2 linked regions of the Caenorhabditis elegans genome follow. The protein of the gene in region 1 purifies or fractionates together with the protein of each later gene. This does not show direct contact. Each region holds a gene or a part of one and is shown in the gene's direction. Other genes may lie near its edges.

Region 1 (5,718 bases):
TGCAAATTGCCTGAAAAAAATTTGCCGGAAATCGGCAAATTAATATTAGCTGAAAATTCGATTTTTTTTTTGGAAAAAATGTCGTTTTTTCGATGCTTTTGAGGGAAAATCGAAAAATAAATTTTTCAAAAATTTTTAAAATTAAAAAAAAATTCAGAAAATTAACTATAAAATAAGATTTTTTGGCGAATTTAATTTCAGCTAATTTTAATTTTCCGGCAAATTGGCAAACTGGCAAATTTTTGCCGGAAATCGGCAAATTGTCTGAATAGAAAATTTCCGGCGAGTTGCCGGAATTTAAGTTTTTGGCAAATTGCAGGAATTGAAATTTTCCGGGAAATTGCCGATTTGCCAAATTTGCCGGAAAATCGACAATTTTCCGGCAAACTGCCGGAATTTAAATTTTTGGCAATTTGCCGGAAATTAAATTTTCTGGAAAAACGGCAAATTGCCGGAATTTAGCATTTCCGGCAAATCGGCATATTGCCGGAGTTTTTAATTTCCGGCAAATCGTCAAGTTGCCGGAATTGACAATTTCTGGCAAATTGTCGGAATTGAAATTTGCTGGAAAATCGACCATTTGTCGGTAATGAAAATTTCCGACAAATTTGGAAAATTGCCGGAATTGAAATTATCCGGCAAAATGTCGATTAGCCGAGTTTCCCGGAAAAACGGCAAATTGCCGGAATTTGAAATTTCCGGCAAATGTGCGAATGGCAGGAATTGGAATTTGCCGGAAACACGGCAAATTTTCGGAATTTAAATTTCCGGCAAATCGTCAAATTGCCGATAATGAAAATTTCCGGCAGATCGGCAAATTGCCGGAATTTACCATTTCCGGCATATCTGCAAATCGGCAAACCGGCAAATTGCCGAAAATAGCTACATTTATTTCAAAAAATTTATGAAAAAGTTTTTTTCAGACGTTGGCGCTGGAAGTGGCAAGTACTATGCTCTGAATGTTCCACTTCGTGATGGAGTCGATGACGTCACTTATGAACGGATTTTCAGAACAATTATGGGAGAAGTTATGGCAAGATTTCAACCAGAAGCAGTTGTGCTCCAATGTGGTGCCGATTCACTGGCAGGAGATCGGCTAGGAGTATTCAATTTGACTACTTATGGTTTGTGTGTGTCGATTTACGAAGAAGCTCTCGTGTACTCCTCGTGGAGAAGATTTTCTCAGTTTTCGGCAAAAATTCTCGATTTTGGATCATTTTCGCTAGTTTAAACTAAAATTTTCACAAAAAATCAAGAAAATTCGTTAAAATGGTGATTTTCGCGGCGAGACCCATCCGAACTCGTCTGTGCGCCTTTAAGTAGGAATTGTGGAGAAATTCGGAATAATAATAGCAAAATCACGAATTTTAAGTAAAAATTGAGAGGAAACCTACCTAAAAATGGGATTTTTATCGGAAAAAGTGCTAAAAAATGCTTTTCTCACTGAATATATCGGAATTTCTTAGTTTTTGGCGAAATTTTGTGATTTTGGGCCATTTTCACTAGATTTAACACTCAAAAAATCAAGAAAAGTCGTTAAAATAATGCTTTTCGCGGCGAGACCCATCCGAACCCGGCTGTGCGCCTTTAAATAGGAATGGTGAAGTAATTCGGAATAACAATAGCAAAATCACGAATTTTAAATAAAAATTGAGAGGAAACCTACCGAAAAATGGGATTTTTTCGATGAAAATTACTGAAAAATCGGATTTTTTCACGAAAAACATCAGAAAAAACGGAAAAAATTCAGTTTTTCTCGGAAAATATGCTAAAAATTGCCTTTTTCACAAAAAAAAAAACAGATAATGAGTTTTCTATGACAAAAACAATTTTTTAAAACGTATTTTTAACGAAAAACATCTGAAAAATCACGGAAAAAAACTCCAATTTTTCCCGGAAAATGACCAAAAATTAGATTTTTTCATAGAAAATAACCAAAAAATTGGCCTTTTTCTCAGAAATAAGCAAAAATTTTTTTTTTCAGGACACGGAAAATGCGTGGAATACATGAAAAGCTTCAACGTGCCGCTTCTGTTAGTTGGCGGTGGTGGATATACGATTCGAAATGTCTCCAGATGTTGGCTGTACGAGACGGCGATCGCTTTGAATCAAGAAGTTTCAGATGGTATGGAAATTTCGATTTTTCCCCCGGAAATTTGCGAAAAAACGGCTTATTTTCGGCAAAAAATCTTGAAAATTCGAATTTCCCGCTAAAAAATGCCAATTTTTCTTCCAGATCTGCCCCTCCACGACTACTTTGACTACTTCATCCCGGACTACAAACTACACATAAAGCCGCTCGCCGCTCTTTCGAACTTCAACACTCCTGAATTCATTGATCAAACGATTGTCGCGCTTTTGGAGAATTTAAAGCAACTTCCACACGTTCCATCGGTCCAAATGCAATCGATTTCGACGAGTTGTGACTCAATTGTGAAGACTTTTGACGAGAAACTGATCCGAGATCATCAGAATGATGACGTCAGAGTTACTCAGTTCGAGGAAGACGTTCAGGTGGAAGATTCGGCGGAATTCTACGATGGTCAAGAGCCGGAGACGAAGAATATTCAATCGATGAAACGGCACGCGAGTCCGATTTGTGCGGCGCAAGAGGAGATGAAGAAAAATCGGATTGATGGCGGCGAAAATGTGGCATAATTTGGTTTTAACTTGATTTTCTGTATGCACTAACTTTGTATTTATATCGTCTCTTCAAACTATTTCTTTAATTTATACGAATCTCAACTTCTCTAAACCTCTATTGATCCTCAAATCTATTTAAATCTTTCGTTAAATCGACAATTAAAAAATTTCCGTCGTCAAGTGTGGTGCCGGTGGTGCATACACCGCCGCGCACAAATGCACAGATTTCGGCGTTTTCGAATTTTTATCGGATTTCTTTTCTCTATATTTTAAAGGATATTTTCTATCGTTTCTTGTCTAAAAACACAGTTTTTATCGAATTTATCACAATATAAACCTATTTATCATCTTTCTTTTGTGAATTTTCACTGAAAAATCAGGTTTTTTTACCTTGAAATTCTAATTTTCACCCGGTTTTATTTAATGGATGTTTGGATTTTCTCAATTCCTATTTATTTTCAGAATGAGCGGCGAAGAAGAGAAGGCAGCGGACTTTTACGTTCGTTACTACGTTGGACACAAGGTAGGTCTTGGAAAATCTTGGAAAAATGACAATTTTCGCCAATTTAAATTAGTTTACGAAACAATTTTCAGGGAAAATTCGGTCACGAATTTCTCGAATTCGAATTCCGTCCAAACGGATCGCTTCGCTACGCGAACAACTCCAACTACAAGAATGACACGATGATCCGCAAAGAGGCGACAGTGTCGGAATCGGTGCTCAGCGAGCTCAAGCGTATCATCGAAGACTCGGAAATCATGCAGGAGGACGATGACAATTGGCCAGAACCAGACAAGATTGGACGCCAGGAGCTGGAAATTCTGTACAAAAACGAGCACATCTCGTTTACGACCGGCAAAATCGGAGCTCTAGCCGATGTGAACAACTCGAAAGATCCGGATGGTCTCCGCTCGTTCTACTATCTCGTTCAGGATCTCAAGTGCCTCGTCTTCTCGCTCATTGGCCTTCACTTCAAGATCAAGCCAATCTAATTTAATTCCTTCAGACTCTGTTCTATTTTATCCACCAAATCTCTTTAACTTGTTTAATTTATTCGATTTTCTCTTCTCTTCTTAAGTTCTCAAATTTCTCAAGAATAAATTTTATTTCTTTCAAAAAGTACAGTTAGAAAAAGTCTGAGAGGTGGGGGAAAAGTTAGAATCAAAATCAATTTCATAGGGGGGGTCAATTCACAGGCCATTTGTAATCCGATCCGTTGGTCCTTAGCAATATCTAGAAATGTATTCCCGAACACGATGATTGAACGATTCGCGATTCTGACTCCACATCTGGGCGGCTTGAATGTTCAGCGCGTCGTTGAAGTCCATAAGATCGTTGAACAGTGAGACGAGTCCGTGGACGACGTCGGTGAGGTTACGCGTTGGACGCCATCCGTATTGATCCAACGAGTTTTGACGCAAAATCGATAGACAAATCGATCCGTCCTCGTTGATATTTGGATGCCAAACCTTTGTCAGGCACTTAACAACGGGCGGCACGTTGTTGTACTCTGGCGGGACGGTGATCTTGAATCGGAATTTGCCTCCACGATAGATTCCTTCTTGAGGTGTCACGGTGAGTTCCAACTCATGAAGACACGATGTTGATGGGACCTCGAGATGCCACAGCTTTTGCTTCTGATCGCGAAGAGCAGTCTCCAGCTGTTGGAGTTCTGAAAATGTTGTAAAATCAAAATTTTTTATAAAGCAGCCACATACCCTGAGCTAGGAGCTTGTCACGGACGGCGATGCGGGTTTCAAGATACCGACCGTCCTCGTTGTTGCCGTTGATTCGTTTTTGAAGATTGAACATTCTGAAAGCGAAAAATTAAGAAATACGATAATTTTCAGCGATATAGGCGGCGCATACGGAAACATAGAGAAAATAATCGTTTTTTTGGCAAAATTACAGTGTAAAAGGGTCAAAAATCGATGAAAATCTTGTAATTCAGCGAAAAAACGACAAATTACGTGAGAAAATGAAACAATTGCTATGAAAAATGACAGAGAATGAGGAATAAAAGACGCAGCGTTTGCTAACGCTGAAATGACTAAAGGGGGCGGAGCGCGAACGCAAGGCTGGCACACTTTTACCGCAAGTGCCGCACGGTTTCCCACGAGTCGGAGGAGGCAAGCGAAAACGATTCGAATCACACATATTTACGCTCCGGCCTAAAATCGTCATGTCTGGATTCTCTGTTTACGGTTAGTTTTGTTAATTGTAAATTATTCAAGTAGAAAACTGGAATATTCAGCTTTAAAAGCAGATTTTAATCGAGAAAAGCCGAATTTAAAGTCTGGCCTAAAATTTTTATTTTTCTCCAGGCGTTTTTCTATTTATTGTATTTGATTAGGCTGAGATAATTTGAGTTTTTAATAATTTTAATGCATTTTTCAGTCGGAAACGCTCCATTCCAAACTACCGAGGACGACCTTGGCAACTACTTCAGCCAGGCTGGAAACGTCAGCAACGTCAGGTAAGCTTCTCTCCCCGAAATCTCCTCTTCCCGAAACCTCCTGAACGACGACCCGTTAACTCTCAATATGAATCTCTATTTTCAGAATCGTTTGCGACCGCGAGACCGGACGTCCACGTGGATTCGCCTTCGTCGAGTTCACCGAGGAGGCCGCTGCCCAGAGAGCCGTCGACCAATTCAACGGAGTCGATTTCAACGGAAGAGCTCTACGCGTCAACTTGGCTCAAAACAGAAACAACTAATTTTCATATCGGTACTTTGTTACTTGTTTGATCTTTAATGATCTCAATAATAATAAACCCATGAAATCGTTATCATAAATATATATGCTCTATTTTTTTATTTCGAATCTTCATTTGGGGTCAATCTGATGGCAAGCGTTGAGGCTAGAAGCTTGAAGGAACGGCTTCGGTTCGAGCAAGTTTTGAATCCTGGGCTATGCGCAGCCCAATGTGAGCTTACAACTGAAAATTCAAGTTTCAACACTCTTCGCGGTCTTATTTTGGACTAATTCCTCATATTTTCAGCTTGAAATGGAAAAAATCTGTCGAAATCGATGCTATTCGAGGGGCGGGGCCAAAACGCAACCCTGGCACGG
Region 2 (5,940 bases), on another chromosome or scaffold:
CTGTATTATTCTCTCCACTAATCAAAACCAACTCATGTATACTGTAGTTTTGGCAAAAATCTGAATTCTCAAAATAAAAATCTTCTCTGGTCGAATTTTCCGATATTTTGTTATTTGGAAGTCTGTGTTTAGTTTCTGCATAGTTTTGAAATATTTGAGTATTAATCTGAAAATACTACATCTTTAGAATGCCGAAATAATATCAAAACTTACCATTATATCATCTAATTCTATGAAAATCGAACTATTCCCACTTTTTTGAATTCCAACAACCACATTTTCACAGATATTTCCATTTTGAAAAGGTATTCTACATTCCATATTTCCCTTGGATTTATGAAAACATTCAGACATTTCTTCAGAATTTTCCCAAAAGTTATAAGAAAATTGAGTAGAAGCTAGACACTCCGATGATTTGATAACAGTGAAACATTTATCCGAAGATTGAATTATTGAACAATTCCATTTCATTTTACTGAAATTCTATTAATTTTTCTGTCAAAAAACAATTATTGTGATACCGGGCCAACTGAGGTGTTACAACTGGGTACTGTAGATCATCAAGAGGAAATGTTGAAGTTTTCGAGCTATCTGTTGGTTTTTCAAAAAAATCTTGAAAGAAAGAATCAACAAGAGTAGGAAAACCTCCAACTACGCGAAACGGATCAAATCTAGAAGAAATAAACCGTTTTTTTAGAATCCGAAATATGTACATACCCCAGGTTAATTGGAATTTCCCAATTACCAAGCCATTTATAACATAGAAGAAAAAGTAACCAGTTGCAGATAATAATAAATTTCATCTAAAACGTATATATTGCTAGGAACACATTTTTCCATGACCCCTTTCTCTTCAATTCCTTCGTTTCCATGGTAATTCCAATTTTAGTTGCCGAAATTTGGTAGTGTGCAATTGCGCCCCCTTGAGATACGCACGCGGCACGCTTCGCGTAGAACAGAATTTATTACTCGAATTTTGAACGGTATTCGCTTCTGTTTTCATGTTTTTCATGTTTTTTTCTTGAAATATATAATTTGTTTCAGCTTAAATCATTTGAATTACTATCATAATTTATTGTTTTTCTATTAGAATAGCGTTTACAACCACTGCTATTTGAAATTATCCGTTTCGTCGCATTTTACTCCCAGTTCTTGACATATTCGTATTATGTTTCAGGTAATGTCGAGCAGCACGAAAACGTTGTCTCAAACTTACGGACCACGTCCTCAGAGCTTCAGTCTAGATGAAGCCGGAGAAAGATACTACATCGGTTCTGAAATAGGTGCCTATCTTCGTCTCCATCGTGGAACTCTCTACAAGAAGTATCCATTATTATGGAGAAAAGTTGCAACTTCGGATGACAAAGACAAGCTGAAGCAAATTGCAATGTCAAATGCTTTTTTGCATACTAATATCATGTGAGTATAAAAACCAAAGTGTCAAATTTCATTCGGCAAGTATTTTACAGGCTGCTGAGAGCGCATGAAGTAGATGAGCTTCTCGATGGTTCCGAAGAAAAGTACCGAGCGGCTGGAGCAGCGCCTTCAACTCCAAGAACTGAAGGAGCTTCTAGAACTGTCGCTAAAACTCCTGCAACTGGATGGGCAGGACAACAAGTCACCAGCGGTTCACATCATCTCGAATCCGTTCCATGTTCTTGTCCGATAGCTCATTCTAGAGGAAGAATGAAGCATCGTGAATTAGTATATTCAGCAGAAGATTTAGAAATGTCGAAACGAGTGATGAAAAATGCTGAGGAAGGAGAAGATCTTGTGCCAATTCGATTGGATATGGAGTTGGATGGAATCAAACTTCGCGATACGTTCACTTTCAATAAAAACGAGAAAATGATCACTCCCGAGATGATTGCCGAAATTATGTGTGAAGATCTTGATCTACCATTGGCAGTTTTCCAGCCTGCTATTACTGCAGCAATTAATCAGCAGCTCGAAGCTTCTACAGAAGCGCCACCATTGGATGTGAACATTTGTGATCAGAGAGCCGTTCTCAAGTTGAATATTAATGTTGGAAACCAGAGTTTGGTTGATCAATTCGAGTATGTTGGAAATGCTAAAGACTGACAATTCATTTTAACTTCAGGTGGGATATGTCGGATCCTAATAACAGCCCGGAAGAGTTTTCACGAAACATCTGCAAAGAGCTTGGCCTCGGTGGTGAATTTATGTCAGGAATTGCATATTCAATTCGCGGACAGTTACAATGGAATCAAAGAACATATGCGTTTTCAGAAAGCCCACTGGCCACTGTTGATTGCCCGTTCAGGTAAATTTGATATGAAATAATGAATTTTTGCAAACCAATGCTATTCAGAACATCATCTGAAGTCGAATCTTGGGGTCCATTCCTCGAAACTTTAACCGACGCTGAAATCGAAAAGAAGATGCGTGATCAAGACAGAAACACGAGAAGAATGCGTCGTCTTGTTGGCGGTGGATTCAACTATTGAAGTATCTACTGATCTCTACGAAATCAACCTGTATTTAACGAATTTTAACCATTTTATCTCAATATTTTTAATGTGCACTTTCTTTTAATTTATTCTTTCCTCGATCTTTTCTCTACATTTTCTCGTGTAAACTGCTCTTTCCAATAGGAACTTGTGGCGGTTTTCAAACTGAATGATCTAACTGAAAATATAAATAAATAAAATTTCAGAGCCCGATCGTCTCAATCGCTTGAAGAGAAAAATGAGCGACAACGAAGTAGAGATGGAGGATGTGGTGGCCAACGCCGAGAGATCAAGAGGTCGAGGACTTGCGCAGGTAAATTTTGTCGAATTTTGTAATCAATAATCAATAATATATTTTTCTAGAGTCGCAATCGCGAGAGGATCACCTACGACGTGGTCGATGAAGAGTCGTCTGCCACAAGCGGAGCACCACAAAGATCCGTTGAAGGATGGATTGTCTTCGTGACAAACATTCACGAAGAGGCAACAGAAGATGATGTTCATGACAAGTTTTCCGAGTACGGAAAAATTAAGAACATTCATTTGAATCTCGACAGACGAACCGGTTTTTTGAAGGGATACGCACTGGTGGAGTACGAAACGCAGAAGGTAATATTTTAGCAGTCGTCGTTTCTATCGAAATCATTTACTATATATAAAGCGCTTATTCTGTGTGTCCATAGTTTGTAGTCTATGTAGTCTTTGTAGTCTGTGAAGTTTTGGCTTCTGTGGGGATAGTGAGTTGGGGTTAGTGTAGGGATATAGTCGGGGTACTGTAGTGGTACAATAGTGGTACGGTAGGAATACTGTAGGGTTACGGTAGTTTCAGAAAAATTAGTTTTCAGCCCCAGAAGTGGGGGGCCGCGCCGGAGGTGCGGTCCACGGCTGGTATCAATATAAATTATTTATTTTCCAGGAAGCCAACGAAGCTATTGATCAGAGCAACGATACAGATCTTCTCGGCCAGAATGTCAAAGTCGATTGGTGCTTCGTCAAGGGAAAGAAGACTTCTGGAAAGCGCTGAAAACCACGTACTTAATTGTCCTCTCCAATCCACGTTTTATGTTTTTTTACACGTCACTGTTAAGTTTTTCCTTTTCTATTTATTTTTTGTCCTCTTTCCCAATTTACCATTCGAAATTTTAAATATCTATTTGGTCTCAACTCGCTCGCTCTTCTCAATTTTGCGATTTTTGTTATCTATGTGACACATGCAATAACAGTGAATAAAATGACCATTTTTCAATTATCTGCTGTTGCTATTTTCTTTTTATCGTTAACCAGTTTGGAACGATTTGATATCTTCAATTGTTTCGTAGATCAAATTCTGGAAAAAAAGATTTCTGAATATCTGAGTTTTGCAGATGTTTTCTTCTGCTGTTCGAGCTCTTTGCCGCACGGTTCCTACTGTTGCCACCCGCCAGTTGAGCACATCTCGTGCTCTTTTGTCACTTCGTCCACTTGGACCAAAAAATACTGTCCCAGCTTTCAAAGGAACTGCTGTCGTTGATGGAGACTTCAAGGTTAAAAATAACAAATATATATATTTTTTTCAAAAATTAATTCCAGGTGATTTCTGATCAAGACTACAAAGGAAAATGGCTCGTCATGTTCTTCTATCCACTTGACTTCACCTTTGTATGCCCAACTGAAATCATCGCATACGGAGATCGTGCAAACGAGTTCCGTTCTCTTGGAGCTGAAGTTGTCGCGTGCTCGTGTGATTCTCACTTCTCTCACTTGGCCTGGGTTAACACTCCACGCAAGGACGGAGGACTCGGTGATATGGACATCCCTTTGCTCGCTGATTTCAACAAGAAGATCGCCGACTCGTTCGGTGTGCTCGACAAGGAATCCGGACTCTCATACCGTGGACTTTTCCTCATTGATCCATCTGGAACTGTCCGTCACACTACTTGTAACGATCTTCCAGTTGGAAGATCTGTTGATGAGACTTTGAGAGTGCTCAAGGCATTCCAATTCTCTGATAAGCACGGAGAGGTGAATTTTGAAATTTACAAAAAATTTAATTTCTAGCAAAAAAAATGCAATGTTTTTTTTCCGAAACTTTGGCCCGCCATAAAAATATTTAAATTTTTGTTGAAAAGGAAATCGGTCGTTTCGGGCTAGTTTTAGTCCATTAAAACAAATTTCGACGAATAAAAAATTAATTTTTCAGGTTTGCCCAGCTGATTGGCATGAGGATTCTCCAACCATCAAGCCAGGAGTCGCTACCAGCAAGGAATACTTCAACAAGGTCAACAAGTGATCACACAGAAACAGAACAATTATTTTTATTCTTTGTATTTATCATATTGATGATTTAGTTTGTCGGTTTAAATAAATAGGTGTCATTCAGCTCGAGTTTTTTGAAATTAATTTTGGAAAATATACGGTTTCAGAAAAATCCATTAAAATATTGATTTTTGTTTCCTAAAAAGTTTTGGAAAAAAATGTGAATTTCATTTCAGATTTTTCTAAATAAATGAACAGGAAAAAATTAGCAGCATATGGTCAGGAATTCGAAGATGATGACGAAGAAGGTCTGCAATTTTACAGTTTTCAGGAAAAAAATAAATAATTTCAGGAAGCTCTGTATCAAAAAAGCCAACTCAAATCCACGAAGAGATAGCAACAGATGAAAAAGGAAAACGGAGATTCCATGGAGCCTTCACTGGAGGATTTTCAGCTGGTTATTGGAATACAGTTGGATCAAAGCAAGGATGGGTTCCTCAAGTGTTCTCATCATCTCGGAATGAACGTGGAGAACAAATAAAACAAAGAGCTGAAGATTTTATGGATGCAGAAGATCTTGGAGAATATGGAATAGGGAATCGATCGATAAAACAGACTGCGGCATTTGGTGAAGGAGCTGGACAGAAAAGGAAAATGGCTTGGGAACGGGATACGACAAGTATTTCAACGATAACTCAGATGTTTGAGGATGTTGTGAAGCCTGTTAGTAATTCGATAGGAGTACGGATGCTCCGATCAATGGGATGGAGAGAAGGACGAGGCATCGGATTGGCAAATGTTAAACAGAAACAGAAGAGAGGTTCGAGAGCATATCTAATTGAAGGAGGAGTTATCAAAAAAAGTTTAAATTAGTCTGAAATTCTTAAAATCCATAATGGAAAAAGGGAAACATCGCAAAAAAAGAAGAAAAATCTCGTTTGTAGGAGTGCGATTTTTCGTTCTTTGGCAATTTTTTCGTGTTTTCTTTGTGGTTTTTCAGGATGGATTTGAGGCGATTTTGAATTTTTTACAGCGGAGTCCTCACCGAAACTTTTCAAAAATGTTTTATGGCGGTATTTAACAAATTTCGTCAACTTTTCCGTGCCGGAATTTTTTTGGGTTGTTTTTTCTGTGTTTCAAAGTTGTTCGTCTAGCGTTTTTTCGTGGATTTAAGAACATTTAGAGATCAAATCTGGTCCAAATGTACCTAAATTCCCAAAAAAAAATTAGATAA

The links. The genes of interacting proteins can lie anywhere in the genome.
Region 2: the proteins of mag-1 (region 1) and rnp-4 purify together in Caenorhabditis elegans (affinity purification with western blotting; 2 studies listed by BioGRID, with this or other methods). This does not show direct contact.

The regions. Positions count from the first base shown.
Region 1 is NC_003279.8:11,910,065-11,915,782, reverse strand, and holds mag-1 (Protein mago nashi homolog), read left to right. Parts: upstream 1-3,105; 5' UTR 3,106-3,106; coding exon 3,107-3,166; intron 3,167-3,237; coding exon 3,238-3,636; 3' UTR 3,637-3,754; downstream 3,755-5,718. Other genes in the region: hda-3 (Histone deacetylase), read left to right, coding at 924-1,124, 1,985-2,125, 2,237-2,658; NEDD8-conjugating enzyme ubc-12, read right to left, coding at 3,868-4,316, 4,363-4,456; rbm-3.2 (RRM domain-containing protein), read left to right, coding at 4,827-4,848, 5,042-5,120, 5,206-5,362.
Region 2 is NC_003281.10:4,403,609-4,409,548, forward strand, and holds rnp-4 (RNA-binding protein rnp-4), read left to right. Parts: upstream 1-2,677; 5' UTR 2,678-2,709; coding exon 2,710-2,784; intron 2,785-2,834; coding exon 2,835-3,080; intron 3,081-3,387; coding exon 3,388-3,495; 3' UTR 3,496-3,715; downstream 3,716-5,940. Other genes in the region: R07E5.17 (uncharacterized protein), read right to left, coding at 1-166, 214-475, 522-671, 718-803; snfc-5 (SWI/SNF Subunit INI1 DNA binding domain-containing protein), read left to right, coding at 1,181-1,419, 1,470-2,057, 2,102-2,284, 2,333-2,468; putative peroxiredoxin prdx-3, read left to right, coding at 3,836-3,994, 4,041-4,472, 4,651-4,740; gpch-1 (G patch domain-containing protein 1 homolog), read left to right, coding at 4,957-5,014, 5,059-5,526.